7 linked regions of the Callithrix jacchus genome follow. The protein of the gene in region 1 interacts with the protein of each later gene in a pairwise test. Links are inferred from orthologs where the notes say so. Each region holds a gene or a part of one and is shown in the gene's direction. Other genes may lie near its edges. The genes, in order: TRIM27, JOSD1, TBC1D22B, ZBTB16, ZC2HC1C, PUS7L and EIF4E.

Region 1 (3,500 bases):
GGTGAGTCGAGATCACACCATTGCACTCCAGCCTGGGTAACGAGCGAAACTCCATCTCAAAAAAAAAAAAAATCAAATATGAGAAGACTGTCTCCTTCACATTTGTGAATCCTGAAAAGAGCCCTGAGCCTGAGAATGGGCATCTTATCAAATTGATGTATCCCTGAAAAGAGTCACTAGTATGCAAAGAATTATATGAACCACAGCTCTTCTCAGTAAAATTCAGGGAGTGGGCGGCTGCTGGTGGATTAGGGATATGAGGACACTTCCATGGAGAGAGTGTAGCCTTACCGGGACCTGGGCTGAGTATAAGGGTAGTTTATGATTGTTGCTTCCTACACGTTTCACAGTCTTTTCCCCCTTCATTGTCTTTCTCTCTTTTTTTCTATAACGGGGGAAATAAGGCCTAAGAAAGGTGTGACTGACCTAGATTTACATAATTACGGATGAGCCACCTGGATTCTGGCTCTTATTTTTGCTATTCTCTGTTCCATCAAAAAGAAAGTGAGGAAGAGCTCCCTGGCAGCTGGACATGACCAGAAAGGGAGAGCTTGAAGGGGGCAGCAAGCCAGGGCAGAGTTGTATTTGCAGGAAGGATGACTAGGCGAGTAGGATGGTCCTTGGGAAGCTTATGTCTGGTGCAGGAAGTGCCTTCCAGGTGGAACCTGACTTTGAGGGAGCTGTACTTTGAAGGTGATTAAGACCCTGAATAGTGAAACCCCCTAAAGCAAAATACAGCTTGACTATGTGGGAGCATTTAAAGATATGGGGGAGGGCCTTATAGATGGGGCTGGGAGGCCTGTGTTGATAGAATCACGTTGATGGAATTGAGGTTCCTGAGGGACCCTAAGATGGAGTGGTGGAGTTTATACTAGTCCCAGCCACATGACCCAAGCAAATCTCCTGTTACCTGCTACTTCATGATGCCAGTCTAGCTCCAGCCTAACATACGCAGTTAGCTCCCTCGGACCATAGCAGTTTGTGACATTAAAGATTGAATTTGGCTGTATAAGATAGAAAACCCAAAATGTTATTGGCTTAAGGCTTAAACATGATAAAATTTTTCTTACCATAAAAGAAATGTGCAGGCTGGGCGCGGTGGCTCACACCTGTAATCCCAGCATTTTAGGAGGCAGGGCAGGTGGATCACCTGAGGTCAGGAGTTCGAGACCAGCCTGGCCATTATGATGAAACACCTTCTCTACTAAAAATACAAAAGTTAGCCAGGCATGGTGGCACATGCCTGTAATCCCAGCTACTGGGGAGGCTGAGGCAGGAGAATTGCTTGAACTTGGTGGCGGAGTTTGCAATGAGGTGAAATTGCGCTACTGCACTCCAGCCTGGGCGACAGAGCCAGACTCCATCTCAGAAAAAGAGAAATGTGCAGGTAGGTAGCCTGTGACTAGTATGGTAACTGCAGCGATCCTCAGAGACTCAGGTTTCTTCCCATTCACTGTTCTACCATCCCTAAGGTGTGGTTCTTGTGGAGTCCACAGTAGCTGGTAGAAAGCCACACAAGAGGAATGAGATAAGTCACATGACATTACTTTTTTTTCTTCATTTTTCTTTTTTGTAGAGGCAAGGTCTCATCATGTTGCCCAGGCTGGTCTTGAACTCCTAGCCTCAAAGCAGTTCTCCCACCTCAGCCTCCCAAAGTATTGGAATGGCAGGCATGAGCCACTGTTCCTAGTCATGTTACTTTTTTAAGCAGACTTCTCAAAACACCATGAGATGCATCTTACCTCTCATAGGCCGGAACTCAGTCACTAGGTCACATGCAGCGATGAGGGACTGGGCAGCTGTGAGCCATTAAAGGTGAAAGGTGGTAGAAGGGGTATTGGGTGGCCAACTGGCAGTCTTTGCCATAGACAGCCTTGCAGGGCAAGGGAATTGGGTATTGTCCCCCACAGTGCCTTTCTGTCTGAACATGCCATTCTCTCCGTATTTGGGAACCTGAGAATTCGGGGTAATTGCCCACCATAAATATCAAAGATTAGTGCTTTCCGGCAAAGTCAGCCTCGTATGTAATTCAGTAAATTGTTCTGGGTACTGAATATTTGGAAAGCTGTGAGCTACCTGCTTTGGGGGTTATAAGAATGAGTGCAGGCCAGGCGTGGTGGCTCACACCTATAATCCCAGCACTTTGGGAGGCTGAGGCGGGTGGATCATGAGGTCAAGAGATCAAGACCATCCTGGGCAACAAGGTGAAACCCCGTCTCTACTAAAAATACAAAAATTAACTGGGCATGGTGGTGTGCGCCTGTAGTCCCAGCTACTCTGGAGGCTGAGGCAGGAGAATTGCCTGAACCCAGGAGGTGGAGGTTGCGGTGAGCCGAGATCGCACCATTGCACTCCAGCCTGGGAAACAACAGCGAAACTCCGTCTCAAAAAAAAAAAAAAAAGACTGTCCATCTGTGCTGGACAGTTTAGCTTAGGCAGTCCTGGTTCTTAGAAGGTCATGGAATTGAGGAAAATAATTTATTTACTCACATTTTTTCAATTTAGGGCTGAAAGAATCAGGATTCCTGAACCTTGGATCACGCCTCCAGATTTGCAAGAGAAAATCCACATTTTTGCCCAAAAATGTCTCTTCTTGACGGAAGGGCTAAAGCAGTTCACAGGTAACGTGCGGGGAGATGTCATGAGGGAGACGGATTTATACTCAATGTCTGCATATTCCCTGATGAAAAGATATATTTTCCAGCCAGATAGTGGGATGCAAACTGAATATTTTCTTGTTTTCTTTTCCTAGAAAAAATGCAGTCCGATATGGAGAAAATCCAAGGTAAATTTATCTACCTCCTGGGCTTTTGATGTAAAGTTGCTTGGAAAGAACATCTGCACTGAAAGTGCGGAAAATGGGATAAGGCTGCTACCCATTGGCCAGCCTTCCCTGATGTTTCACTTCTTCCCTGTGGCCTTAATTTTCTCAGTTAACAGCCTGTTAACTGTATTTAGTCAGTTCTCAGTCTGCATTGATGGAGGCAAAAAAATCAGCCACCCAAAAATTAATCCACAATTAATTTGATTTTTCAGGAAAGAGTATGAACAAAATCTGTCCTGGTTACTTGAGCCAGTATTTATCTTTGTAATTTACTGAGTTCCTACTGCTTGTGGGCACAAGCGCCAGCTCCTGTAGGAGGAACTGAGCCGTGCTGACGGGCACATGCTTAGGAGCGGGCAGTCAGGAGTCCAGCCGCCTGGGCTCTGGGCCCAGCTGTACCACTTAGTAAGGATTCTACAGGCAGTTTTCTCATCGTAACATGAGGACAATAATAGTTCTTACCTCCTAAGATACAAGAATAGGGTTACATTTCTAACACTTGTAGAATACAACTAGACACATAAGTCCCATATGTGAGTTTATTAAATAAGGTGTTCTAGGCATTTGGAGAAGTTTCTCCAAATTTAAATTCTTCTGCTCACGATCCACATTCAGTAAAGGGTTGGCCATATATTGAATTCTAAAATTCCTGGGCAGTCTGGTGGATTCTGAAATC
Region 2 (3,991 bases), on another chromosome or scaffold:
ATAAAGACTAAATTTGAAGTGCGACTTCTTCCTGTTTTTCCAGTTTTATTAAAAACCCAAAAGGAGGGAAACTACCCTAAGAGTAGGTAAAGAGAAAAAATAATGAAATCCAGGTGCGACTGAGCGTTTTCCCGACAACGCACACAATGCGCTTAGGTCTATGCAGAGAGGAAAGCCACAGTGAGAAGAGCGGGGAGCCCCAAGGCAAGAGGACAGTGGCTTGTGTGTACTGAACCCAAATGCGACACTAAGGAACTGCAACAGGATTCTCCTTCGCACTTGAAATGTGACTCCAGCGAGGCACCTACCCTTGGCGCTCCCTGAACAGCGCGGCGCGGTCGGGCGCACTAAACAAGTCAATTTGCGCTCGACCGAATCAGGTGCTTCGCAATCCCCCCCTGGTGAGCAGCGCGTTAGCCACACATAAAATGGTCAACGCAGGAGGGCAGGACCGCTCGGCCGAGAAGCCCGGCCCAGAGAGGGGAGGGGTGCGCAGAGCCGCGGACAGTAGCTGCTGGTCTGACGGCCGCCCCGGAACAACGCCCACACCCGGGAGAAGGGCAGGCGGGCGTTCTGGCAGGACTCCCTCAGGCCGCCCCGCCCCTCCTGGGACGGCGCCGAGCCGAGCCGCCAGACCCCGGCCCGGCCGGCCGCCGCCGAGCTCCGCAGCCCAACACCGGAGGCCCCTGCAACAGCCCAAACCCTCATCGGCGCCGGGACTCGCCAGGCATCCGTTGCTCGCAGGCAGGCTTCGATGACGTCATCCGTGACGCCACGGCGGGGAGGAGCGGGAGGGCGTTTCCGGGGCACGCGCCGGGAGGGGGCCGCTGACGTCGGGCTCAGGTGCGCGCGCCCGCCCGCCCGCCCGCGCGGCCCAGTTGGCGGCCCGCACTCCAGGTGGAGGCCGGCGGCGGTGAGGGGCGGTCGGCGGCGAGCAATCCCCGGGGCGCTGGGGGCTGCAGCCGGGGGCGCGGCGGGAGGGCGTCCGGGCCTGCGCTCACGTGACGGGCCGGGAGGTTGGGGTGGGGGCGGCGAGCCGGGCGGGCCGGAGCCCTGGAGCGCTAGGCGGACTCTGCGGCCCCACCCCTCGCGGGCCTGGCTGCTGCGGCGCGGAACCTTCCCTCCGGCAGGGGCTGGCCCCGCCGCGCACTTCCCGCGCCCGCTCGCCGCTGACCTGAGTTGTCTCCTTCGCAGGGCCGCGGCCAGAGGGCGAGAGTCCGCGCCTTCCGAGGGAGTCGCGTCCTGCGGGCCCCAGCGCACCCGAGGGGATGGAGGGCTGCCCCCGAGGCCCCCGCGCGGCCCGCGATCCCACGCCCGCGGGCCCGCGCTAGCTGCTCGATTCGTGCGCTTTATCAGCCACCCAGGCCTTGTCTCCCGAATCAGTGGCGTCGTGGTTCGAAAGAAATGGAAGAAAAGGAGCGATGTGACCGATTGTGTTCGGTCCTCCTGCTTTGAGGCCTGGCATTTGCAGAGGGAAACAGCAAGAAAATCGTGGGGTTTTTGGAGAGGGGTGGGAGGGAAGGGTGGGGAAAGGGAAAAAAGGTCTTAGATTTTATGTGTTTTTTAATTTTCTAAATTCTGCACTTTGACAGTGGTAGCAAAATAAAACTAATCCAAAAGTTATTTTTCTATTGAGAAGAGAGAAGAGGTGGGTTTTTTTTTTTTTCTTTTCATTCCAATCTTTTCTCCCAGTGACAAAGCATAAATCATGGACACCAGAGAATAAGGTGGACCTCAGGAATCCTGAAAAGACTGAGAAGCTTACATTCTTCCACTGGAGGGAAGAGTGGGGTGTTTTTAGCCATCTCTGGAACCTAAAAGAAAAAACATGAGTTGTGTGCCATGGAAAGGAGACAAGGCCAAATCTGAATCATTGGAGCTGCCCCAGGCAGCACCCCCACAAATCTACCATGAGAAACAGCGCAGGGAGCTTTGTGCCCTCCACGCCCTCAATAACGTCTTCCAGGACAGCAATGCCTTCACCCGGGATACGCTGCAAGAGATTTTCCAGAGGTAGGGACCCTTCTCCTTGGCATCTTGATACTTACTGATATTTCTGGATTTCTGTGGGTGGGGCAATATCTCAGCTTCATCGGCCTTCAAGTCTGTACGTATTAGCTAGATGCCATTAGCAGGTGTAAGGGACACGCGACAGGAAAAGATAATCACTACCATTTATCTGGCACGTACTGTGGGCTAAGCACAATGCTCATAGCCTCTGCTGTTTTCTTGAGTGATCTGCTCAGCAGTCCCATGGAAGACATGTTAATACCTGGAGTTATTTCCATTTTAATGATGAAGACAGCATTTAGTTCAGTACTTTGCCCAAGGTAACAAGACTTGGAGCTGGGTTGAATTCTTTTAAGTACGCTGTTGACCACTAGGTTTAATGCCTCTAAAGTTCTCCTGCCGGGGAGTTTACGATCTAGAAGTGGGACAAGATCCATTCAGTCACCTGTCATCAAAGGTTGAATTTGGGGGATACCACAAGCAAGATGTGTACACAGTGCTCAGCATTTCTGTGAGGCCAGGTGCTGGCAGTGGGGCTTTTCGTACATTGCTTTGTGTAGCCCTCCTAGCATTCATCTCACTGCCTGTATTTTACTGATAAATAGCCAGAAAGGTGAGGTAATATGTTCAAATAGCTTCTAAATAGATAGCAAAGCTATAATTTGAAGCTGACTCTGGATCCCCTCCTCTTTTTCCTTTATTCTAGATGGTCTTCCTTACCCACTTAGAACAAATGGCACTCCACAGGTTGATAGTTCAGCTTTTGGCCAAGCACCATGGCTCATGCCTGTAATCCCAGCACTTTGGAAGGCCAAGGCGGGTGGAATCACCTAAGTCCTGGAGTTTGAGACCAGTCTGGCCAACATGGTGAAACCCTGTCTCTACTAAAAATACAAAAATTAGTTGGGTGTGGTAGTGCATGCCTGTAGCCCTAGCTACTCGGGAGGCTGAGGCAGGAGAATCACTTGCACCAGGAGGTGGAGGTTGCAGTGAACCAATATCCCACCACTGTACTCCAGCCTGGGTGACAGGTCTTGGGGAAAAAAAAAAAGAGTTCAGCTTTATTCTCTTTGCTCTCATTTTCTTTTCTTCTTTTTTGAGACGGAGTTTCGCTCGTTACCCAGGCTGGAGTGCAATGGCACGATCTTGGCTTACCGCAACCTCCACCTCCTGGGTTCAAGCAATTCTCCTGCCTCAGCCTCCCGAATAGCTGGGACTACAGGCACGTGCCACCATGCCCAGCTAATTTTTGTGTTTTTAGTAGAGACGAGGTTTCACCATATTGACCAGGATGGTCTCGATCTCTTGATCTCGTGATCCACCCTCCTCGGCCTCCCAAAGTGCTGGGATTATAGCCTGCTCTCATTTTCTAGAATTGCTTTGTTAAAGGTTTTGAGAATCACTTATGTCGTGTCTTGATGAACACAACAGCATGTCTGCGGTCCGTAGCAACTCTGGTGGTGATGTTGCCTGATGACCCCAACTAGAAAGGGTTAGGCCCACTCAGTCCTCATTGCAGAAAAGCTCAAGCATTCTTTGAGCAGTGCTTATTGGCATTTCCAGAAGACGTTTTTCTTACTCTCTTAGCTTGTAAATGAAGTTATTGCCACATAGGGACCAGAATTACAGCTGGAAGCAATCTATTTGGGGTGATTTGTAAAAACACAGGTACGGATCATTTGCCCTGAAAGAGCCAGAGGCCTACTCTTAAAAGAATGTTAATCCCCATATGCAGACAAAACTATAATGAGAGTAATTATTTTCCAATGCCAGTAGTAACCAGAGTAATGCCTTAGCATTGAGCAAATGCGTTGTTTGCATCACGGCCATAATCTGGCAGCAAGTAGAGTTGACTCTGCAGGACCTGGGGTGTGGGAGATAAGATCGTTTGTCTCAGATCATCAGATCATGTCACTGAAAGGAGGATCCAGTACGTTGGACTGCTTTCTTTTGACCAGCCGTTAGTATTTCTCCTACTTCT
Region 3 (4,242 bases), about 44 Mb from region 1:
AGACAATTCAGAGGATACCTTTAAGACAATAAACTCTGAACTGCTGGTTGCCAGGATAAGGAATCTAGAAGTTGTTTTAGATTATTACTTCAAGACATCAACTCTTCCAAAGCTCAAACAGCCAGCAAAAGTTCTGGCTGTCCAGAATACAGACAAAACATCCACCTTAACAAAGCCTTAGTACATTCCTCTTTGGGTTTTGTGTGCAGTGGGTCACTGCATCTTAAGAAAAAGAAGCGCCAGAGAAAGGCAGGTAAAATGATTAAAAGAATAGAGGGGTGACTGGGAGCTGGAGGACATATAAAGAAGGTCCTTCTTTGGCTGGGGCCAGGGTTCAGGTCCTTAAGCATTCTCCAATGTGTGGAAGGACCCATGGGATCAGGTCTTCAAGTATTCTCCAATATTTGGACTTACATGTGGTAGCTGTGAATGGGGGGTGGGTGAGGGGGTGGGGGACACGCAGCCCACCTCAACAGTCCTTGAATGGGACAAAAACCACTCTAGACTGGTGCCTGCTTTCTCTCCCCAAATCACCACGGAATACAACCATAGAAACTCAAAAACAGTAAAAAACACCGACAAGATATTTTAAATGCTAATATTAAATCTCATTGTGAAAATTAGATTGAAAATAAATCCAAGGATGCAAGATTTATAATAGATTAACAAGGGAAATTAAGGATGTTGGTGGGTGAGGAGGAGATGTATCCTTAACTTTGTGATTCACACGATGGAGCTATACTGTGTCCTTCAGAGAAATGGTACTTGGTAATCTGAGTTGGACGGCTATCATAAACCATTTCCTATACACTGTTAGCATAGTCAGAAAGTGAGAGTTATGAATTGACATCGGGATTAGATAATTTGAATTTTTCACCCACAGCACAATTCCTTCCATCGTTTTCAATAAACAGAGCGAGAGGGAGACTCTGATGAACTGTTGCTCACGTGCTGAACCGTTAGCAACCCCGGGCTATCGGATCCCTGATGACCTTCCTTCAGAAAAACGAACGGACATCTAAACGGAACGAGGAAGGGGAGGGTAAATAACCAGAGTGTCCCTGAGTTGAGAGATGTTAAAAATGGAACACAATCAACACATGGGCCCTTACTTTTAGGTTAAAGATTCCTATACATAAATACATCTCGCCCTTGCCAAAAAATATTAGATTCAGGAAATTCATTCCTCACGAAGAAAATAATCCCCTCTCTTCCATTCCTTAGGTCCCTTACTTTACCTGCTTCTTTCCTCTCGAGGGCAGGAACTTTGAGCCCCGCCTCTCTGCTCCTTCAAGCTCCGCCTTCCCCGTCCACCTGTATGCCCTGCCCCTGACGTTACCCGTTGGCTTCAGTGGCTTGCAGGATTCCGGCTTCTGATTGGCCGGCCCGGCCACGGCTTGCGCAGCCCACCAATGGCAGCGGCGCTGGGTGGAGGGGTGCCCAAATCCAAGATGGCGTCCCCAGGAGCTGGGAGTGGGTGACCGGCAGCGGGGAAGCGGCCTGGGTTGGCCCTCAGATTGCGGGGTCTGGGGGCATCTCTCCAGGCAACCCCCCTGGCCCGCCTACAAGGCCTTCCCCCGGCCAGAGCAATGGCCGCTGAGAACAGCAAGCAGTTTTGGAAGAGGAGCGCTAAGCTGCCGGGGAGGTGAGCCCAGGACGCTGAGAGGGAAAGGGGATTGGACCAAACCCTTCCAGATCCTAATCCCTAATCCCGCGGGCCTGGGGCGCCACCGAGGCCGGAAGACTGGTTTGGGGAAGCCAGGCGGGGAAAACTGGGGCTGCCTGGTGGCTGCAGAGCAGCTGTCAGGCAGAGGAGAGAACAGCGAGCTTTGGGGACGGCTGGATGTGGGTGTAGACCGGGGTCTGGGGGCGGAGGTTTCAGGAGGGGTGACCTCAGCTGGAAGGTGGCCGAAGATTGGGCGTAACCCGCAGTGGAGTTGGGAGATAAGTCAGTGTCGGCCCTGGTCTCGGAGGTTCATCCCCAGAGCTGCTTCCCACTCTAATCAGAACTCCCTCTCAGTGGTCTCCACCACGCACAGGTGGTTGCTTGCTTGAGGATGGCCCCTTCCCTTGTTCCCCTAGCTGGACAATTACCCGAAGGATTCTGGTGTGAGTTTGTGGCTTCTTGCCGAGAGGGTTAGGTAAGAAAAGTGAGGACAATTCTCAAGCCTGACCTTACTTTATCTTGAGTTGGCCCTTTCCCACTAGGAATTAATACAAGGCGACCACAGAATCAGGGTTATTCCTTTGGCATTTTCTAAGGATTTGTCCAACCCCAAGTGACTTCTTCCTTCCTTGCATTGTAATGCTCTTCTTGTGCAAATGTACTAAATTCTTTCATTCTTCAGTTGTTTCGCTGGAGAGCAGACCTCCTCAGACTACCCCCCACCCCTTTTTTGGTGTATGTTGAGACTTTTAGCAAATTACCCATCCATCAATCTATTGGTTTACTGTTTCAGTTTATTTTGGGGAGAGTCCTGAGAAGTATAAAGTAGAGTGTGTATTTCAGTCGTGAATTTAAGATTTCTGCCAGCCACAGTCTACTTGGTGATGAAATTCATGTTTGGTTGTGCCCCACGTGCTACCTTTTCTAGTGGATTCAGGTTTTTTCCTTGTGAGATCATCTTTTGAACTCGTGATTTTTTTTTGAGACGGAGTGTCTCTGTTGTCCAGGCTGGAGTGCAGTGGTGTGATCTCAGCTCACTGCAGCCTCAAGCGATTCTCCTGCCTTAGCCTTCTGGATAGCTGGGACTACAGATGCGCGCCACCATGCCTGGCACATTTTTGTATTTTCAGTAGAGACGAGGTTTCACCATATTGGCCAGGCTGGTCTCGAACTCCTGACCTTGTGATCCGCCCACCTCAGCCTCCCAAAGTGCTGGGATTACAGGTGTGGGCCACTGTGTCCAGCAGACTTTATTTATTTATTTATTTATTTTTAAGCAAGAGAGAAATGTGGGTCAATAGTGGCTAGATAAGAGCCTTAATTTTTTCTTTTTTTAATGAAATAGAGACAAAGTCTCACTCACAATGTTGCCAGGGCTAGTCTGTAACTCCTGGCCTCAAGTGATCCTCTTACCTTGGCCTCTCAAAGTGTTGGGATTTCAGGTGTTAGCCACCATGCCCCAGCAAGTCTTATTTTATTAAGGATCCTATTAGACATATGGAGAATAGGGTGGAAATCAGCTTTTAGTAATATTTATTAAAATAATAGGAATGCAAAGATAACTTCAGATTAAAGTGCTGTGGATTTACAGTGTTAATATTACTGTTAAAGATGTTCTATGTCTTTAGGTAAGCACCACTTCCTGCCAGCTGATTCGTTTTCCTTCCTGGTCTAGTGAGCTCTCTGGTTGTGCTGACTGCTATTCTCTGGGATTTTCCATAGTGAGATCATTAAATTTTGACATCCTAAGATTATAATCAGAATCAATAGGAAAACTTGTATCAGGAAGCAGTGTAAGAGATGTGCGACATGGCATGGCCTTCTCTGCCTTCTGACTGGTGGTTGCTATTAACAGTCTTTTTTCCCCATATCTCCTGTGTTTGACTATAGAAGAGTCAACATTTTAAAAGCACTACTTTTCTGAGATAGGAAGAGAAGTCTTTTCAGTTTCCTCAAGTTTCTGGATTCCCTTTTCATTTTGAAGAATATGGAGAAATTGAGAGAGGGCCGGGAACAATGCCTCACACCTGTAATCCCAGCACTTTAGGAGGCTGAGGCGGGCAAATCACGAGGTCAGGAGTTTGAGACCATCCTAGCCAACATAGTGAAACGCCGTCTCTACTAAAAATACAAAAATTAGCTGGGTGTGGTGGCGCTGTAGTCCCAGCTACTCGGGAGGCTGAGGCAGGAGAACAGCTTGAACCTGGGAGGTGGACATTGCAGTGAGCCGAGATCATGCCACTTCACTCCAGCCCGGTGACAAAGGGAGACTCCATCTCTAAATAAATAAATAGACAAAGCAAGACTCCATCTCTAAATAAATAAATAAATAAGTACATAGAAATAGAGAACTTTTGCCGGGCACGGTAGCTCACGCCTGTAATCCCTGCACTTTGGGAGGCTGAGGCGGGCAGATCACGAGGTTAAGAGATCAAGACCATCCTGGCCAACCTGGCCAAACCCCGGCTCTACTAAAAATACAAAAATTAGCTGGGTGTGCTGGCGTGCACCTGTAGTCCCAGCTACTTGGGAAGCTGAGGCAGGAGAATTGCTTGAACCCGGGAATTGGAGGTTGC
Region 4 (4,246 bases), on another chromosome or scaffold:
GCAGCAATGCCAGAGGCAAGCATGGATATGTGATTCTAGGTGAGTCCTGCGGAAAACCTTTGGCCCACCCACGAGTCATGGACGGAAGCTTAGGCCTGGGTGATGTAAGCTCCACCTTGCTAAAACCGCGTGACCTCGAGGGCTGACTAGCCTGAGACCCCTGCATGGTGTTCTCGGCCACCCCCACCTCCCACCCCAACCTCCTAGGCTTCAGTCAGAATCCACAGCCAGTGCCTCTGGCCCCCTATCTTCACTCAGCTCCAGAGAAAAGCGGGGACAGCAGCTTTCTGCGGTCAGAGGAAGGGTACATTTTCTTTTTTTATTTTCCAAAAAATTTTTTCCCCTTTTTTTACCTTCACATGAGCAGAGGAAGGAAAGGTACATTTTCTTTGGCTGCTCTACCCTCTAAAGTAGGGCGGCCAGCTGAGAGGAGGACGCGCTTCTGAGGGGCCCAGAGCTTTTCCAAGCTTTCCCCTGCCCCCTGAAGACTGTGTGCTGAGCTGGGGGCAGTTCTAGAGAACTGTTTCCACCCAGATTGCTCTGTATGTGTGTGTGTGTGTGTGGGGGGGGGGGGGGGGCAGAGCTGAGAGGTTGTCCAAGACTAGGAGAGATAAAAGTTTCTCAGGACTCGACCTTGGCCTCCAGCAACCGCGACATCTAAAAAGGGGCGTGTCGCTTCGACAGTAGATCCCAGCGGACCTTATGGCACCAGGTTCACCAGGGCCCGCGAATTCTGCATCTGGAGACTTCTTGAAATCCGGATGCTCAAGCCGGGAGGCGCGCAGTAGCCAGAAGGATGGGAAGCCCAGGCTTGGGCTAGGAAAGCGGCCTTTTAAAACTGATGTCAGGGGCCCCTGGGAACGCAGCCCCGAGCCAAGAGGAAGAAAGTTAAAGGCGAGATGACACGCACTGAATTGGGCAAAGATTGGAAAAGGGGACAAAACTGCGTGCTTGAGCATCGGAGTGCGGGGGAGGGGGCACAAACCCGTATCCGATAGAAATTAAAATCCTGGGAGTAGGTGGGGGCTGCTGCGCGCCCTTCACCCTCGGTGCCCCCATTAAGGGTTCCGAGTTCCCTGCACTCCTGTCCTCTAGCTCCCTGCTTTCTCTCTCCTCGGCCGGTGAGCGGCGGCCGCCGGCGCCCCAGCAGCAGCTAGATGTCAGGCGAAGCCCGGAGCGCGGAGCGCGGGGAAGGGAGGGGAGGGGAAAGGAGGGGTGGGGCGGGGAGCGCGCGCGGGCTTGGCCAGTGCGGGGTGGTGGGCGGGCTGAGCCCGGGGACGGCGCGGGAGGGGGGAGGGAAGGGGGGCAGCTGTGGGCAGGGAGCCGGGCTCGGCCGCCAGCACTAAAGATGGAGAGGCGCCGGGGCCTTGCAGGGGAGGGGGCTCGGCGTTGACGTGGGACGCGGCGGAGGCGCAGCAGCCGGTGGTGATTTGCTAACCTCGCAGCAGAGAGGAGTTGAGGGCGATGAGAGCGGGTACTGCGAACTGCCGGGCGATGCCGTCGCTGCCGCCGTGATACGGAGAGCAACAGTTCCCCAGCAACACCCCTCCCCGACACAGGCACACACCCCCCGACAGGCACGCACACCCACCCCACAGTGCCCGGCTCGGCTGCGGTGAGTGAGGGGCCGGGGAGAGGCGCACCGCCCAGCGAACGCCGCGCGCCGAGCCCCCCCGGGGCTGGAGAGGTCTGGGGGGCGCGCGCTCGCTTCGGCCACTCGGCCGCTGGGCTTGTGCCTTTTTTATTTGGCGTGTTCCCTTACTGCCGCTGCAGCCGTCGCCACCACCGGTTGGGGATCGGCTGGAAGGGGGAGCCCCGGCTGTCAGCCTGGGCGCAGCTGCCTCCGCAGCCCTTCCTCTCCGGGGCACGGTCGGGGTGAGAGGTGGGGGGCGTAGCGGTCTGCGGGGGCTGAGGGCGTGAGCAGAGGGTCGGGGATCTGGAGGCTTTGTACTGCCAGGGGCGGGCAGAGGAGCAGAGCCCGTGGGTGCTCTTATGTTTGCCGACCGGTGCGCGGGCGCGAGATAAGGTTGTGGTTTATTTATTTGTGTGTTTATTCGCCGGCCGGCTGGGAAGCTAGAATTGGAGAAGCTGACGAGTAGATGCGGGGGCGGAGGAGAGCAGGACTGGGACGGCTTACGTTTTGTTTCTCTTTGAAAAAACGTGGTGGGCTTTTTCTTGATTAGACTTGATCCCCCTTTTGCAGGGGAGGGAGGGAAGCTCCAGAGGGTTTCCAGCGCTCCGGGCCCTCCTCGGCTCTCGGCGGGACGGGCGGTGACGCCGGAGCTCGCCGTGCGCTCCCGGCCGCTCTCGGTGGGTGCCAGGCTCTGCACCTGATGCGTTCGGGATGCCTTTCCCACCCTGGCGCGCCCGCCGCTCGCTCGCACAGCGCCTCGCACACTCCCGCACGCGCTGGAAATGCGCACGGTCCCGCCGGCCCGCGGACCCACCGAGACGCACAGAGCGCTCCGCACCGACTCGCTCGCCGGCTCCCGAGCCGCTCGCACCGAGCCTGGGCCGGGCGCGCCGGCCGCTAGCGCTGTTGGCCCGAGGCCCGGGACCCAGCCGGTCCCTCCTGGGGGTCACGGCCTTGGGTCGGAGAGGGAGGGCCGGCAGACCCCTTCTCGCCTTTCCTCCCACAACTCGCTGCGGGGCTTTTGTGCTTCCCCTTCGCCGCGGGGCGGGTCCGCCTCCTGCCGCCGCGTAGTCCTGCCCGCCCGGGCTGTGGCTTTTCCTCCCCGTCTCTTTCGCTTTCCCCTGCCCCTAGTTCAGCTCTCCTTCTTTCAGGTGTCTAGCTCTTCGGGAAAAGTTGCTTCCCCAAGTTTGCTGAAGTCGTTTCCAACTCTCGGTGGGGGTCGCTGGGAACTGGGGGCGTGTGAGAGCGCAGTCGATCCTGAGGCTCTGGCGGGTTAGCGCCGGCTCTCCCTGCGCCGCCCGGCTGGACGCTGCAGCCAGCTCCGGCCAGATCGCAGGCGCTGAGCGGTGGGTGGGGAAGACGGCTGCCTGAGGGTGCCCCGATTTCCCTCAGGACCCAAACGGCTTGTTCTGGGGCGCCAAGCATCCATTCTTTTGGCTGCTCTCTCCTAGTTTTCAGAAGTCCCGATGTCTGCGGGAAAGCACGAGGTGGAGAGGCTCGGCTGAATGGTCATCCCACCCTTGGCGGCCTCCATCCCCACCCCGGGGTGGGCAGCAAAAGTGTCTTGATCAGGCGTCCTGTGAATCCTTTCTGTGTGAGCGTGGAGGCTCCTGAACTGATAGAGCTCCTTCTGGGGGTGGAGGCAAGTAAGCAGTGTTTGAAGAGTGAGGGAGAGACCTTGCTGTTCCTTGCTCCCAGTTCATTCACTGCAATATTGGCCGCTGCAAGGCAGACACGGGGAGGGCCCTGGGCCTGGGCGGTCTTTCTAACACTCCTTAAGCGGGATTCGGAGTACAGGAGCCCTCTTATTGATCCTGAACAGGCTCAGGGAGAGGCCTTTGTTTCCCAGCCCTGTCTTCCCTTCGTACTGGTTATAACTCACACCACAGATGCTGGTGCCAATACCACGTCCGGAGCCTCTGAGCCATGGCCAGCATCCCTTGCTGCCCCTGGTCACAGGACTTGCAGACTCCTTGGAGCCTGTGGGACACACGTGGAGTTCACACACCCAGCCCAGCATGAGCACTCCTGGCTGTAGGGGCGCATATTTACTACCGGCTCTCTCCATACCTTAATGACTCATCCTTCTTTGTTTTTTAGATCCTCCTGTCCACTGCTCAGTTATGGGTAGGAGGGTAGGTACAGCACCTTATGTAAGTGTGTGTGTACACCCACTTTTTTTTTTTTTTTTTGAGATAGAGTTTCACTCTTTTTGCCCAGGCTGGAGTGCAATGGCGTGATCTTGGCTCACCACAACCTCCACCTCCCAGTTTAAGTGATTCTACTGCCTCAGTCACCTGAATAGCTGGGATTACAAGTGTTAGCTACCATACCCAGCTAATTTTGGATTTTTAGTAGAGATGGAATTTCTCCATGTCGGTCAGGCTGGTCTCGAACTCCCGACATCAAGTGATTCACCCACCTCGGTCTTTCAAAGTGCTGAACTTAAAGGCGTGAGCCACTGCCGCCCAGCCCCACACATCTTTCTCTTTGTCTCTGGCTGATGTACATATACGCATACAAACAGTCCAGATTTTAGATTACATATTCAATAACTTTGAGTCTTCCGTGGATAGAAATGACCCAAGTTAGTGTGTGGGTTGTGTGTGTGTT
Region 5 (4,185 bases), on another chromosome or scaffold:
TGGCTCCTGCCTGTAACTTTGGAAGGTCAAGGCAGGTGGATCGTGAAGTCAAGACTACTAAAAATACGAAAATTAGCCGGGCGTGCTGGCCTGTGCCTATAGTCCCAGCTACTGAGGAGGCTGAGGCAGGAGAATCTCTTGAACCCGTGCTGGCCTGTGCCTATAGTCCCAGCTACTGAGGAGGCTGAGGCAGGAGAATCTCTTGAACCCGTGCTGGCCTGTGCCTATAGTCCCAGCTACTGAGGAGGCTGAAGAGGCAGGAGAATCTCTTGAACCGGGGAGGCGGAGAAGAGAGCTCATGGAAAGAAAATGGCCCTTCTTTCTCACAGGAGAGGGAAGGGGGTGGGAAAGAGAGAGAGAGAGAGAGGGGCAAGCTGGTAAATTCTGCCGCGGGCAGACCCTGAGTGGGGAGTGTCTGAAGCTGCACACATGGAGAGGCTGCACACATGGAGAGGCGGTGGAGTCAACTAGGGATGAAAACGAAGAATTAAAAACAAAAACAAAAACAGGACTGACCTGGAGGGTCCACCAAGGAATTTCTTTGTAACATGTAACAGCTGTAATGTGAAGTATTAACACTGATGACTACTGTCTACATTATTTTCCATGTGCATGAATTGAGCAGTTACAGGGAATAAGTGAACTGCCTGTTCCAAACGGTTTACACAGATGAACCAAAACGAAGAAAAATAAACCTTCTTTTGATGTCAACAAGTTATAGAGTATCATTTAGTGTTGAAACCAGGTTATACTGATTATTTTTCATCTGGTAGTTAACTTTATCATCATTACATTTGGCTGAGTCATTCCTGGGCCCTAAGTAGAGACGGCCAGAGTTACCACGTGAGAGTAAAACATTATAATATCAAAATAATTAGATTGGCCACAAAAGCTACCCCGGAAAGATACAGCGTAGCAAAAACGTCGACAGCAAGTTCCAAAGCCTTGGCGAGGACAAGCAGCGAGCGCGCGCGTGCAGCCATACCTGGGGCCCGCCCAGCGCAGCCGAGCGCGCCGAGAAAGGCCAGCAGCAGCCCCGCTCCCGCCAGGCGGGCGGACGCCTGCATCCTGCGGCGGAAACACGCGGGGGCACAGCCAGGGCCCCCGCCCTTTGCCCGAGAAAGGCACACCCCAGGGTCTGGGAGCATCGTTCTCAGTAAAGTACAAGTTCTTCTTTGATGGAGCCCCAGAAAGACTCTTCCCGCCCCTCCCCTGTTCCCCAAGGGCAGGGCTGGACCGAGCTGCAGAGTTGGCCGGACACTGGGTCAAGTGACGCCCGGACTGACCGCACCCCAGCCCCTGGCCGCCTGGGGTCGCTGGTGCACGGCGCCTGCGCGCGCCTCCCCGAGGAGTTCGCGGCGAGGGGCGGGGCTCGGCGCGCCAGTGACTCCGTCTCCAGGCACCGGGAATAACAGAGCCCAGCTGAGAGCGCCTGCGCGGCCGTCGGTCTCGGGGGAGGTCAGATTTGGGAAACTGGGGCCTGGGGGTTCCCCTGAGCAGGAGCGGTTCGCAGGTACAAGTTCTGGGTACGCAGGGCCTGAGGTATGCAGAAGGGCGGGGAGACTTGGGGTCAGTACCTCCACTTCCCAAGGGCCCGAAGGGCAGGAGGGCGAGAGGGCTTGTCCCCAAAGGCGGAGTCCGCAGTGGGGGCGCCACAGTTGACCCTTCGTGACAGAACGTGACTTCAGCCTTCGGGATCTAAAACAGGCCGCAGCCAGGTCAGGTGGCCTCAACGCTCAGATTACAAAACTTTTACCGTCTGCGCCACGGGGACTCCTGGGATGAGGGTTTGCCAGCCAGGCACCTGCTCCAGGACCCAGCAGCCTCTGTGCTCTTTGGAGTCAAGCATGGTTCCAGTAGGAGGGAAGACCTGAGAGCTCTTTGTGCCACTCAGTACCTCTGGGGCACAGCTGTCTCACCTGCAAAATGGCGAGGCTGGACTCGGAGGGAGCCCTTCAATTTACAGGTGAAGAAACAGGGCCCAGCAAGGCAGAAGTCACTTGTGCTGTTACAAGCCTAAATCCTGACTTTCAATCCGATGCTTTTTCCACCTACTATAGAGTGTACTGTGCGTGGCAGAGGCTGGTGGTGGAGGAAAGAAAGCCAGGTAGTAGAAACACCTGTGGCACCTTCGTTTTTTCTATCCTCAGGGCCTAACACAGTGTCTTGTGCATCATCATCACTCACCGAATGCTTATTGAAGGGAAACTTTGGCAGATCGAGCACCACTGTCCCTAGAAAAGTTTCAGGAAATGTGGGCAGGGCAAATGTAGAAATAGTTTGCTTTAGCAGCCAAGAGTGAATCTCAGACAAACCCTTCCCATGTATCTGGTTTAAATCTCTCATAGGCGTCAGTCCAGGCCCTGAATGGCTGGTCTCCAGTTGGCCTCACATCTGCCTGTGGGCGTTATGCTCCCACATAATACAACAGAAGCTCCAGGGCCCCACTCAGCCAAGCAAGACTCTTACGAACAAGGTGACTCTTCCGAACAAGGTGACTCTTCCCAGCAGTCCCTGAAGGGGCACCTGAGGAACAGTTTCCAGAAGAAGCTTTTGAGCAACAAAGAGTTGACGCTGGATAAAGTCTACCCTCACCCCAAATGGAACACACACGTAAAAGCGCGGAGCTACTCCTATCCCCACTGTACTGAAATCAGCCAGCAAGATCCAGGAAGTGATTCCCAGGGCCAAGGAAAGTGTTCGTTTTACTCGTCAGGCCCTCAATCCTGGTATCCCAAAGCCAATAACCAGGACTTTATTCCCTTGACAAAGAAACGAGTTGGGGTGGACCGGGCGTACCCACTGAAACCTGTGGTCCATCGGAAGTCGTGCAGTATGGGTGAGGCTGGCATGGATGGGGACCAGAATGTCTACCCAAGGCCCCCTGAGCTGAGAGCGTTTTCATCCAGCAACCCTGGTGTGAGGGACCAGGTCAACTTTTCCGTGACTGGTACTGTTCTTGCTGCGGTGCAGGAGGAGAGGGCCGCGGTAAACTTCGAGAGGACTGAGCTGGTGCAGATCCGAAGACTAGAAGCTGCAGGAGAGAACTTAGAGGAGGAAATCCGGAGGAAGCAGAGTCTTCTGAGGGGAAAGCTGAAGAAGACAGAGGAGGAACTCAGAAAGATCCAGAAGCAAAAGGAACAGGCCAAGGAAAATGAAAACAGAGAGCTACAGAAAATTATGCTACCCAGGAGAAGAGTTAAAGGTAATAATAGCAACACCATGTACAAACCTATCTTCTCCCCAGACTCTGAGTTTCAGGAAGAATTCGGTAGAGACAGGAGACAGGATGAAGCTTGGGGATGGTCTCAACAAAATTCGAGTCCATTCCAGCTCTCTGATTATAGAATCCAGAGGCTCAAAAGGGAAAGGCTGGTGGCAAGCAATAACAAAATTCGAGACCGAGTCTCAGAGCCGTCGATGGAGAAGTTCTCTCCGCCTTTAGAAACACCAGGCGGTTCTTTGCAGGGATCCACCAGAAATTCCAGCCTGTCCATGGCACCAGACTCCTCAGGGTCCGGCGGCTCCATTGAAGAGCCACAACTGGGCGAGTGCAGCCACTGTGGGCGCAAATTCCTCTTGCTCAGGCTGGAGAGACACTCCACAGTCTGCAGCAGGATGCGGGAGTCCAAGAGGAAAGTGTTCGACTCCTCCAGGGCCCGGGCTAAGGGCACAGAACTAGAGCAGTACTTGAACTGGAAGGGGCCAGCTTCAGCCAAGGTAACAAGAGCCTTATGGATGTGACTTGATGTGGGGATCATTGTAGGGGTCTGTTATGTCGTCATCAGTTTTCTTTAGGGAAAATTCATGTATCATGTAGGAAGAATTGACATCTAAAATTAACATTTCTTGATTACTACTGTTTGCCAGCATTGTGATGGGAGCTTTCATGTGATTCTCTCATTATCTCTCATTGTATCAATGTAAAAATCAAGACTTGGATAGCCTAAGTGAGTTGCTTGAGGTCACAAACAGCTTTAAGTGGCAGGGTCAGCATTTAACTCTTGGTTGGAATGACTAAAAAAATCTAGACCTAGAATTTGTGCCCTTTGGATTATAAAAGTAATAAACGTTTACTGTAGAAAATTTAAAGGACACAAAAAGGAAAAATGCAGCATTTTCGTTACCTGGAGAGAACTCCTCACTCTTTGCAATGTATTCTGCCACCTCCCAAGACTAGGATCT
Region 6 (3,500 bases), on another chromosome or scaffold:
AAAGAGAAGATTGTAGCTTCAAGTATAATTTATTAAATGCCTATTCTTTTAGGATGCTAGAGAATTTGCATCTTTTTTTAAAAAAGTAATTTGACATTTTTATTAACACATGTTTATTTGCTTGATTTTTCAAGGTGAAAGCCATAAAATTGTTTCTTACACCAGAAGACTTGGATGATCCTGTAAATAGAGCAAAGAAGTATTATCTTCAAACTGGTATTTAAGTTTCTTTATCCCATACATAGCCATGCAGATACAGATACACACTACAAATGTTTTATCAGGAGGAGAGCATTTATTATAACATAAATGTGATAAAAAAATAGATTACAGTGGGCCGGGTGTGGTGGCTTATGCCTGTAATCCCAGCACTTTGTGAGGCTGAGGCAGGTGGATCACCTGAGGTCAAGAGTTTGAGACCAGCCTGACCAACATGGAGAAACCCCATCTATACTAAAAATACAAAATTAGCCGGGCATGGTGGTATGTGCCTGTAGTCCCAGCTACTTGAGAATTGCTTGAACCCAGGAGGTGGAGGTTGCTGTGAGCTGAGATGGCATCATTGCACTCCAGCCTGGGCAATAAGAGCAAAACTCTATCTCAAAAAAAAAAAAAAAAAAAAAAAAAGGAAGAAATAGATTATAGTATGTTACATACTGAATAATTTCATTATATGACTTACACACTTGTGTTTTTGGTCAGATTTGGAAGTTTTTTTGTCTGTGCTAACTCTTGTTTAGGGGTAGTGATAGTGGGAGAAATAGTTTCTTTGTTTTTCTTGGCTGAAATCCTCTGAAGACAGAAGAGTTCCAAATTCTAATCTGGCACTGATGGCAATATAATTAATTGCAGCTGGGGAGATGCAAACTTAAATAAATAGAAGTTCATTTATGATTTTCCAAACTTTATGAATTGTTTTCAATCTACTTGCCAATTAGCCCTGTCAGTGTTTAAAACTTTAGGCCAATATGATCGAATATATATAGGATGCTTGATGCAAACCACTAAGGAACATTGTTATGAGTGTGGCTTGAGTCAGACTGCATGGGTTTAACTCTCACTTTAATATTTCGCAACTGTGTGATCTTGTGCAAGTGATTTGACGTCATTTTGTTAGTTTCCTTATCTGTAAATTGAAGCAAATCACAGTACCTAAAGGAGTATTAGGAGATTTAGATATGAAAATGGATGTAATGTTCTTGGAATAATGCCTCGCATGTACTACATATGGATAAATATTACCTTTATTTAAATAATTAAAAACAGCAACCACACTACTTCAGATTCATTCAGATATCTGACTGACATACTGAATTTCACTTACACTGAAATAAAGGATGTCAGTTTTCAAATATTTATTTGTTATCTTTAATTATGTACATATTACATGTGTGCAGTTATTCACAGGAAAGCAGTATTTTTGTGCCACTCCACAATGTGTAAAACAGTGTAGGCACTTCTAACTGTTGTGAGTAATTTAGGTAGTACTAAGGAAAATTCAAAGTGACTTGTTTGTGTCTGTTGTGGAGTCCCTAGAAGATAATTTCCTTATGGTAATGATTCTTAAACATTCATATGCATAAGAAACACCTGCTACATTTATTTCAATGCAAATTCCAAGGCCCTACCTGAATAAGCATCTTTGGGGTAGATTCTAGTAATTTACATTTCAAAGTGCATCCCATTTTGTGAGGTATAGTAGTGTGCCTGAAGGCTCCAGATCTCAACCCTTTCTTAGTAAAAAAAAAAAATTCGTGTTTATGTCCAGAATAGCTCTTTTAAAAACTGTAGCCTCTACTAGGTAAGCAATTAAATTATGTAATCCTTGAGGTTTTTTTGTTTGTTTTCTTTTAACAGTCCTGTGAATAACTTCATGAGTTTATCTCTATTCTGAAGTAAGGGACTCTAGTAAGCACTTGCTAATATTGGACTCTTGCTTTTTTTTTTTTTAATAGCAGGGAAAGTGAAAGTAGGGCCATATTATGCTTATTATTACTTTTAAAAGAAGCTCTTCAAGTGTAGCTAGGTTTAACTGAAAGTATTGAATATCATCTCAATAACCATGTTCATTGCCTCAGTTTGAGAGTAGAACAAAAGCCTTTGTAACTGGCCTTTAAATAAAATGTGGCTGACTTCCAATTTACTCATTGTTTCAGAGGATGCTAAAGGCACACTTTCATTGATGCCTGAATTCAAAGTGCGGGAGAGAGCATTGCTGGAGGCATTGCATCGCTTTGGCATGACAGAGGAAGGTTGTATCCAGGCATGGTTCTCTTTACCCCATTCCATGCGCATATTTTATGTTCATGCATATACTAGCAAAATTTGGAATGAAGCAGTATCTTACAGACTTGCAACCTATGGAGCAAGAGTAGTGGAGGGTGATTTAGTCTGTTTGGATGAAGATGTTGATGACGAGAATTTCCCAAGTAGTAAAGTAAGTATCATTTCATCAGAGTTTTCTAAGAGTAGTTAGTATACCAAAAACATGAATTTTCAAAAGCCCTGATTATGGAAACACTTTCAACATATATTTAATTTATTTGTCTATTTTTACTTATATTTACTCATCTCTTGCTTCAAGTCTGCTGTCAGTTTAGGCTTAACAGGTGTTGGTAAATGAAAAGATAAAAATAGTGGTATGGAGTGAAAGATATATAGGTAGTAAAGCTTCCTTTGAAAAACACATTTAAAAAAGATTACACAAACAATGTACAAAACAGCCCTTAAAAACAAAAATGAAGACATTACAGATTATGCTGCCATCCCTGCTATCATCCTAATTGATTCCCTCTGCTTCCTCCGGAGACTCAACCCCTGTTGTTTGTTATGTGTCTTTCTAGGCCTTTCTCTATGTTTTCACATAAATATCCATAAAAAATTGATTTTTATTCTATTAGTTAACACTGAGAAAAGAAAAGGTAGGACTTATTGGCTCAAAACTTAAAATATGGAGAGGAGAAAGAATATGATTTTTATAATGGTATACGGAACATGTGATGTGTGTATTTCTTTTATATAAATGTAGTTTAATGTATTCATAATTTCCTCTGTCTTAGAGACATTTATATTAGTGCAATTATAATTTATATTATAAAATATGATCCTTTCATTTCCTCCTTGTCTGATTGTTTTTATCTCTGTGGGTTTGAACTAATGAAACTGGCTTTCATTTGATAGTACTTTAATGCAAAAGAACAAATTATTATTCTCTAACTTTATCATAAGTCAGTCTCACAAATTTTAAAAATTAGTGAAAATTTGGATAATATTTTCATATATAACATAATAAAATCATTGAATTTTATAGAAGAAAAGGATTTTAGAGATATACTTTTTAAAATTCCCATTTTATAGAAATGAAAATTGAGTCCCAGCTTGGAGAGGAGACATATTCAGAGTCACACAGGTAGTGGAATTAAAAAGACCCAGCTTCCTGACCCCTAGCTCACTTTGGTCTCTGCTAGAAAAATCATGGAGTATAGTCTGTAGTGAGAACT
Region 7 (3,500 bases), on another chromosome or scaffold:
CATTTCATGCTGTATAGGGTTCACTAAGAGAAAGGAGTTGATCTGTCATCATATTTTAATGTTTCTGCCAGCATCAAAACCCAATTGTGGAGGTTTTACTTTATTTTAAACAAGAATTAGAGAAATTAATAATTTTTTTTCTATGGAAGTTTTGTATTTTTGTCAATATTAAATGCTTTTGAGTCTATATTAAGACTTCAGATTTTCAAAGAAAGATTCTTTTTTTAACCCTTCCAATTTGCGTTAGTCTTGCTTTCTGGTGTTTTCAATAATTAAGTATAATTCAAAGGAATGCATTGCATTGTAATGCAAATTTAATAATTATCACTTTACCATAAAATTTCTTTTTAATACTTTATTTTAGGGGGAAGGTGGTAAATCTTTTGGAAGGTATGAAAAAACTATCTTAGTATTGTGTTGGAGGATTTAACTCCATTAGTATGTTTGTTCCGTGATTGATTGATTGAGACAGAGTTTCATTCTTGATGTCCAGGCTGGAGTGCAGTGACGCAATCTAGGCTCACTACGACCTCCACCTACCGAGTTCAAGTTTGCCGCAGCCTCCAGAGTAGCTGGGATTATAGGCATGCACCAACATGCCCAGCTAATTTTGTATTTTTAGTAGAGATATGTTGGTCAGGGTGGTCTTGAACTCCTGACCTCAGCTAATCTGCCCGCCTCCGCCTCCCAAAGTGCTGGGATTACAGGTGTGAGCCACCACGCCTGGCTATTCCTTTATTTGTATTTGATATTGCTTATTTTTGAATTTTTGCTATATTCCTTCCCTCCTTTTTTTTTTTTGAGACAGAGTCTCACTCTGTTGCCCAGACTGGAGTGCAGTGGCACGATCTCAGCTCACTGCAACGTCTGCCTCCTGGGTTCAAGTGATTCTCCTGCCTCAGCCTCCCAAGTAGCTGGGACTACAGGCGCATGCCACTACACCCAGATAAGTTTTTGTTTTTAGTAGAGTTGGGGTTTCACCATCTTGATCTCCTGACCTTGTGATCCACCTGCCTTGGCTTCCCAAAGTGCTGGGATTATAGGTATGAGCCACTGGGCCAGCCTTATTATTTTCTTAAAGATTCAAATTTTTAAGGTGACATATGAAGCTCTCTTCCTCTGAAAACTTGTCAGCCTTATCTCATATTCACTTTACTTATGAGCCATAGCCACACAGTCTAATTTTTATTTCTCAGCTCTCAGATGTGCTCATTCTCTTAACATTATCCTTTTGACCTCATGATATTTAAAGGGGTGACTTCTCTAATTTTGTAGATGAGATTAGAATCTCCTTGTTATACAGTATCACAGCCCCTATATTTACTCTTTGGCACTTGTGACAAGTGCCATTTTGTTCTTGGAAACGTGTGCATGAGTCACGTCTTACTTGAAAATTAGATTGTCAAGTTCTAAATTAAATAGATTAATTTAGAACATAATTTCTAACTATTGCATAATTTCTAATCTATGCAATATGTTCTAAAAAAATATTGCATTTTTAGTGGGCTGGGTGTGGTGGTGGGTGCCTGTAATTCCAGGTACTCGGGAGGCTGAATCGCTTGAAACTGGGAGGTAGAGGTTGTAGTGAGCCGAGACTGCGCCATTGCACTCCAGTCTGGGTAACGAGCAAAAATCCATAAATAATGTAATTAACCAGGAATATTGCAAAAATGGAAGAGTAAATTATGCTAAAAGAGTAAATTATGCTAATTTCCTGTTGTACTCTCAAGTCTGTATTTTATAATATAAAGACTAATAACACTAAATTTTTAAATTTATTTACTTGTGAATAAAAATTAATGGCTACTTTTTTTTTTTTCTTCTAGGAGGGTATACAAGGAAAGGTTAGGACTTCCTCCAAAGATAGTGATTGGTTATCAGTCCCATGCAGACACAGCTACTAAGAGCGGCTCCACCACTAAAAATAGGTTTGTTGTTTAAGAAGACACCTTCTGAGTATTCTCATAGGAGACTGCGTCAAGCAATCGAGATTTGGGAGCTGAACCAAAGCCTCTTCCAAAAGCAGAGTGGACTGCATTTAAATTTGATTTCCATCTAAATGTTGCTGAGATATAAGAGAAGTCTCATTTGCCTTTGTCTTGTACTTCTGTGTTCATATATATATATATATTTTTTGGCTAGAGTGTCCACTATCCCAATCAAAGATTTACAGTACACATCCCCAGAATCCATAAATGTGTTCCTGGCCCACTCTGTAATAGTTCAGTAGAATTACCATTAATTACATACATTTTACCTATCCACAATATTCAAAAAACAACTTGACATTTCTCTACTTTACAGGAAAAAAATTCTGTTGATGTTCTATTGTATGCAGGAGCATATTTTGCTGTTTTGAAAGATTATGATGCATACAGTTTTCTAGCAATTTTCTTTGTTTCTTTTTACAGCATTGTCTTTGCTGTACTCTTGCTGATGGCTGCTAGATTTTAATTTATTTGTTTCCCTACTTGATAATATTAGTGATTCTGATTTCAGTTTTTCATTTGTTTTGCTTTTGTTTTTTTCCTCATGTAATATTGGTGAAGGATCCAGGAATATGACACAAAGGTGGAATAAACATTAATTTTGTGCATTCTTTGGTAATTTTTTTGTTTTTTTTGTAACTACAAAGCTTTGCTACAAATTTATGCATTTCATTCAAATCAGTGATCTATGTTTGTGTGATTTCCTAAACATAATTGTGGATTATAAAAAATGTAACATCATAATTACATTCCTAACTAGAATTAGTATGTCTGTTTTTGTATCTTTATGCTGTATTTTAACACTTTGTATTACTTAGGTTATTTTGCTTTGGTTAAAAATGGCTCAAGTAGAAAAGCAGTCCTATTCATATTAAGACAGTGTAAAAAACTGTAAATAAAATGTGTACAGTGAATTGTCTTTTAGACAACTAGATTTGTCCTTTTATTTCTCCATCTCTATAGAAGGAATTTGTACTTCTTATTGCAAGGCAGTCTCTATATTGTGTCTTTTGTGGTGTCTTCCATGTGAATAGTATAAGTTTGGAGCACTAGTTTGATTATTATGTTTATTACAATTTTTAATAAATTGAATAGGTAGTATCATATATATGGAATTAAATTGATGTGGCTATCTTTGTTTTTTTTATAAAGTAAGGCACAGTCCTTCAGTCTTAGGTAAATAATGTACTCTCTTAATATGTTAATACTCATGAGAATTGGGATCTGACGCATCACCATTTGATTAGTGAATTGAGTTGTTTGTATGTAAGTTTCAAAATGATAGTATAGGGAAAAGACAGGTGGTGGGGATGTATGCATTAAGAATTTTGTTGGTGTTGCAATCTAAATCGAATGGAATAAACAGGTATTAAGCCATTTATAGTGATAAATTGTTGTAGTATGGTATTCTGTAAACTCGAAAACTTGATCTACTATTTGTAGGTATCATTTGAAAACAAACTTGAAAATATTTTGTACATAGTACATACTTGTATAGTGCTGTGAAATGAA

The links.
Region 2: the proteins of TRIM27 (region 1) and JOSD1 interact in binary tests that used the Homo sapiens proteins (3 or more experiments, as listed by UniProt). The two-hybrid records come from large-scale screens. The link is inferred for Callithrix jacchus from reciprocal best matches to the Homo sapiens genes TRIM27 and JOSD1.
Region 3: the proteins of TRIM27 (region 1) and TBC1D22B interact in binary tests that used the Homo sapiens proteins (3 or more experiments, as listed by UniProt). The link is inferred for Callithrix jacchus from reciprocal best matches to the Homo sapiens genes TRIM27 and TBC1D22B.
Region 4: the proteins of TRIM27 (region 1) and ZBTB16 interact in binary tests that used the Homo sapiens proteins (3 or more experiments, as listed by UniProt). The two-hybrid records come from large-scale screens. The link is inferred for Callithrix jacchus from reciprocal best matches to the Homo sapiens genes TRIM27 and ZBTB16.
Region 5: the proteins of TRIM27 (region 1) and ZC2HC1C interact in binary tests that used the Homo sapiens proteins (3 or more experiments, as listed by UniProt). The two-hybrid records come from large-scale screens. The link is inferred for Callithrix jacchus from reciprocal best matches to the Homo sapiens genes TRIM27 and ZC2HC1C.
Region 6: the proteins of TRIM27 (region 1) and PUS7L interact in binary tests that used the Homo sapiens proteins (3 or more experiments, as listed by UniProt). The two-hybrid records come from large-scale screens. The link is inferred for Callithrix jacchus from reciprocal best matches to the Homo sapiens genes TRIM27 and PUS7L.
Region 7: the proteins of TRIM27 (region 1) and EIF4E interact in binary tests that used the Homo sapiens proteins (3 or more experiments, as listed by UniProt). The link is inferred for Callithrix jacchus from reciprocal best matches to the Homo sapiens genes TRIM27 and EIF4E.

Annotation. Positions count from the first base shown.
Region 1 is NC_133505.1:2,088,337-2,091,836, forward strand, and holds part of TRIM27 (zinc finger protein RFP), read left to right. Parts: intron 1-2,505; coding exon 2,506-2,621; intron 2,622-2,752; coding exon 2,753-2,785; intron 2,786-3,500. UniProt on the Homo sapiens protein: E3 ubiquitin-protein ligase that mediates ubiquitination of various substrates and thereby plays a role in diffent processes including proliferation, innate immunity, apoptosis, immune response or autophagy.
Region 2 is NC_133502.1:209,578,397-209,582,387, reverse strand, and holds the start of JOSD1 (josephin-1), read left to right. Parts: upstream 1-1,191; 5' UTR 1,192-1,194; coding exon of another isoform or gene 1,195-1,331; 5' UTR 1,332-1,828; coding exon 1,829-2,013; intron 2,014-3,991. Other genes in the region: uncharacterized protein LOC144578143, read left to right, coding at 429-744, 1,195-1,331.
Region 3 is NC_133505.1:45,599,738-45,603,979, forward strand, and holds the start of TBC1D22B (TBC1 domain family member 22B), read left to right. Parts: upstream 1-1,442; 5' UTR 1,443-1,589; coding exon 1,590-1,645; intron 1,646-4,242. UniProt on the Homo sapiens protein: May act as a GTPase-activating protein for Rab family protein(s).
Region 4 is NC_133511.1:13,736,470-13,740,715, forward strand, and holds the start of ZBTB16 (zinc finger and BTB domain-containing protein 16), read left to right. Parts: upstream 1-1,446; 5' UTR 1,447-1,615; intron 1,616-4,246. UniProt on the Homo sapiens protein: Acts as a transcriptional repressor. Transcriptional repression may be mediated through recruitment of histone deacetylases to target promoters. May play a role in myeloid maturation and in the development and/or maintenance of other differentiated tissues.
Region 5 is NC_133509.1:109,983,004-109,987,188, forward strand, and holds the start of ZC2HC1C (zinc finger C2HC domain-containing protein 1C), read left to right. Parts: upstream 1-1,385; 5' UTR 1,386-1,513; exon of another isoform or gene 1,514-2,348; 5' UTR 2,349-2,367; coding exon 2,368-3,720; intron 3,721-4,185. Other genes in the region: ACYP1 (acylphosphatase-1), read right to left, coding at 986-1,148.
Region 6 is NC_133510.1:31,796,997-31,800,496, forward strand, and holds part of PUS7L (pseudouridylate synthase PUS7L), read left to right. Parts: intron 1-134; coding exon 135-216; intron 217-2,156; coding exon 2,157-2,437; intron 2,438-3,500. UniProt on the Homo sapiens protein: Pseudouridine synthase that catalyzes pseudouridylation of mRNAs.
Region 7 is NC_133504.1:98,583,427-98,586,926, forward strand, and holds part of EIF4E (eukaryotic translation initiation factor 4E), read left to right. Parts: intron 1-1,826; coding exon 1,827-1,941; 3' UTR 1,942-3,500. UniProt on the Homo sapiens protein: Acts in the cytoplasm to initiate and regulate protein synthesis and is required in the nucleus for export of a subset of mRNAs from the nucleus to the cytoplasm which promotes processes such as RNA capping, processing and splicing.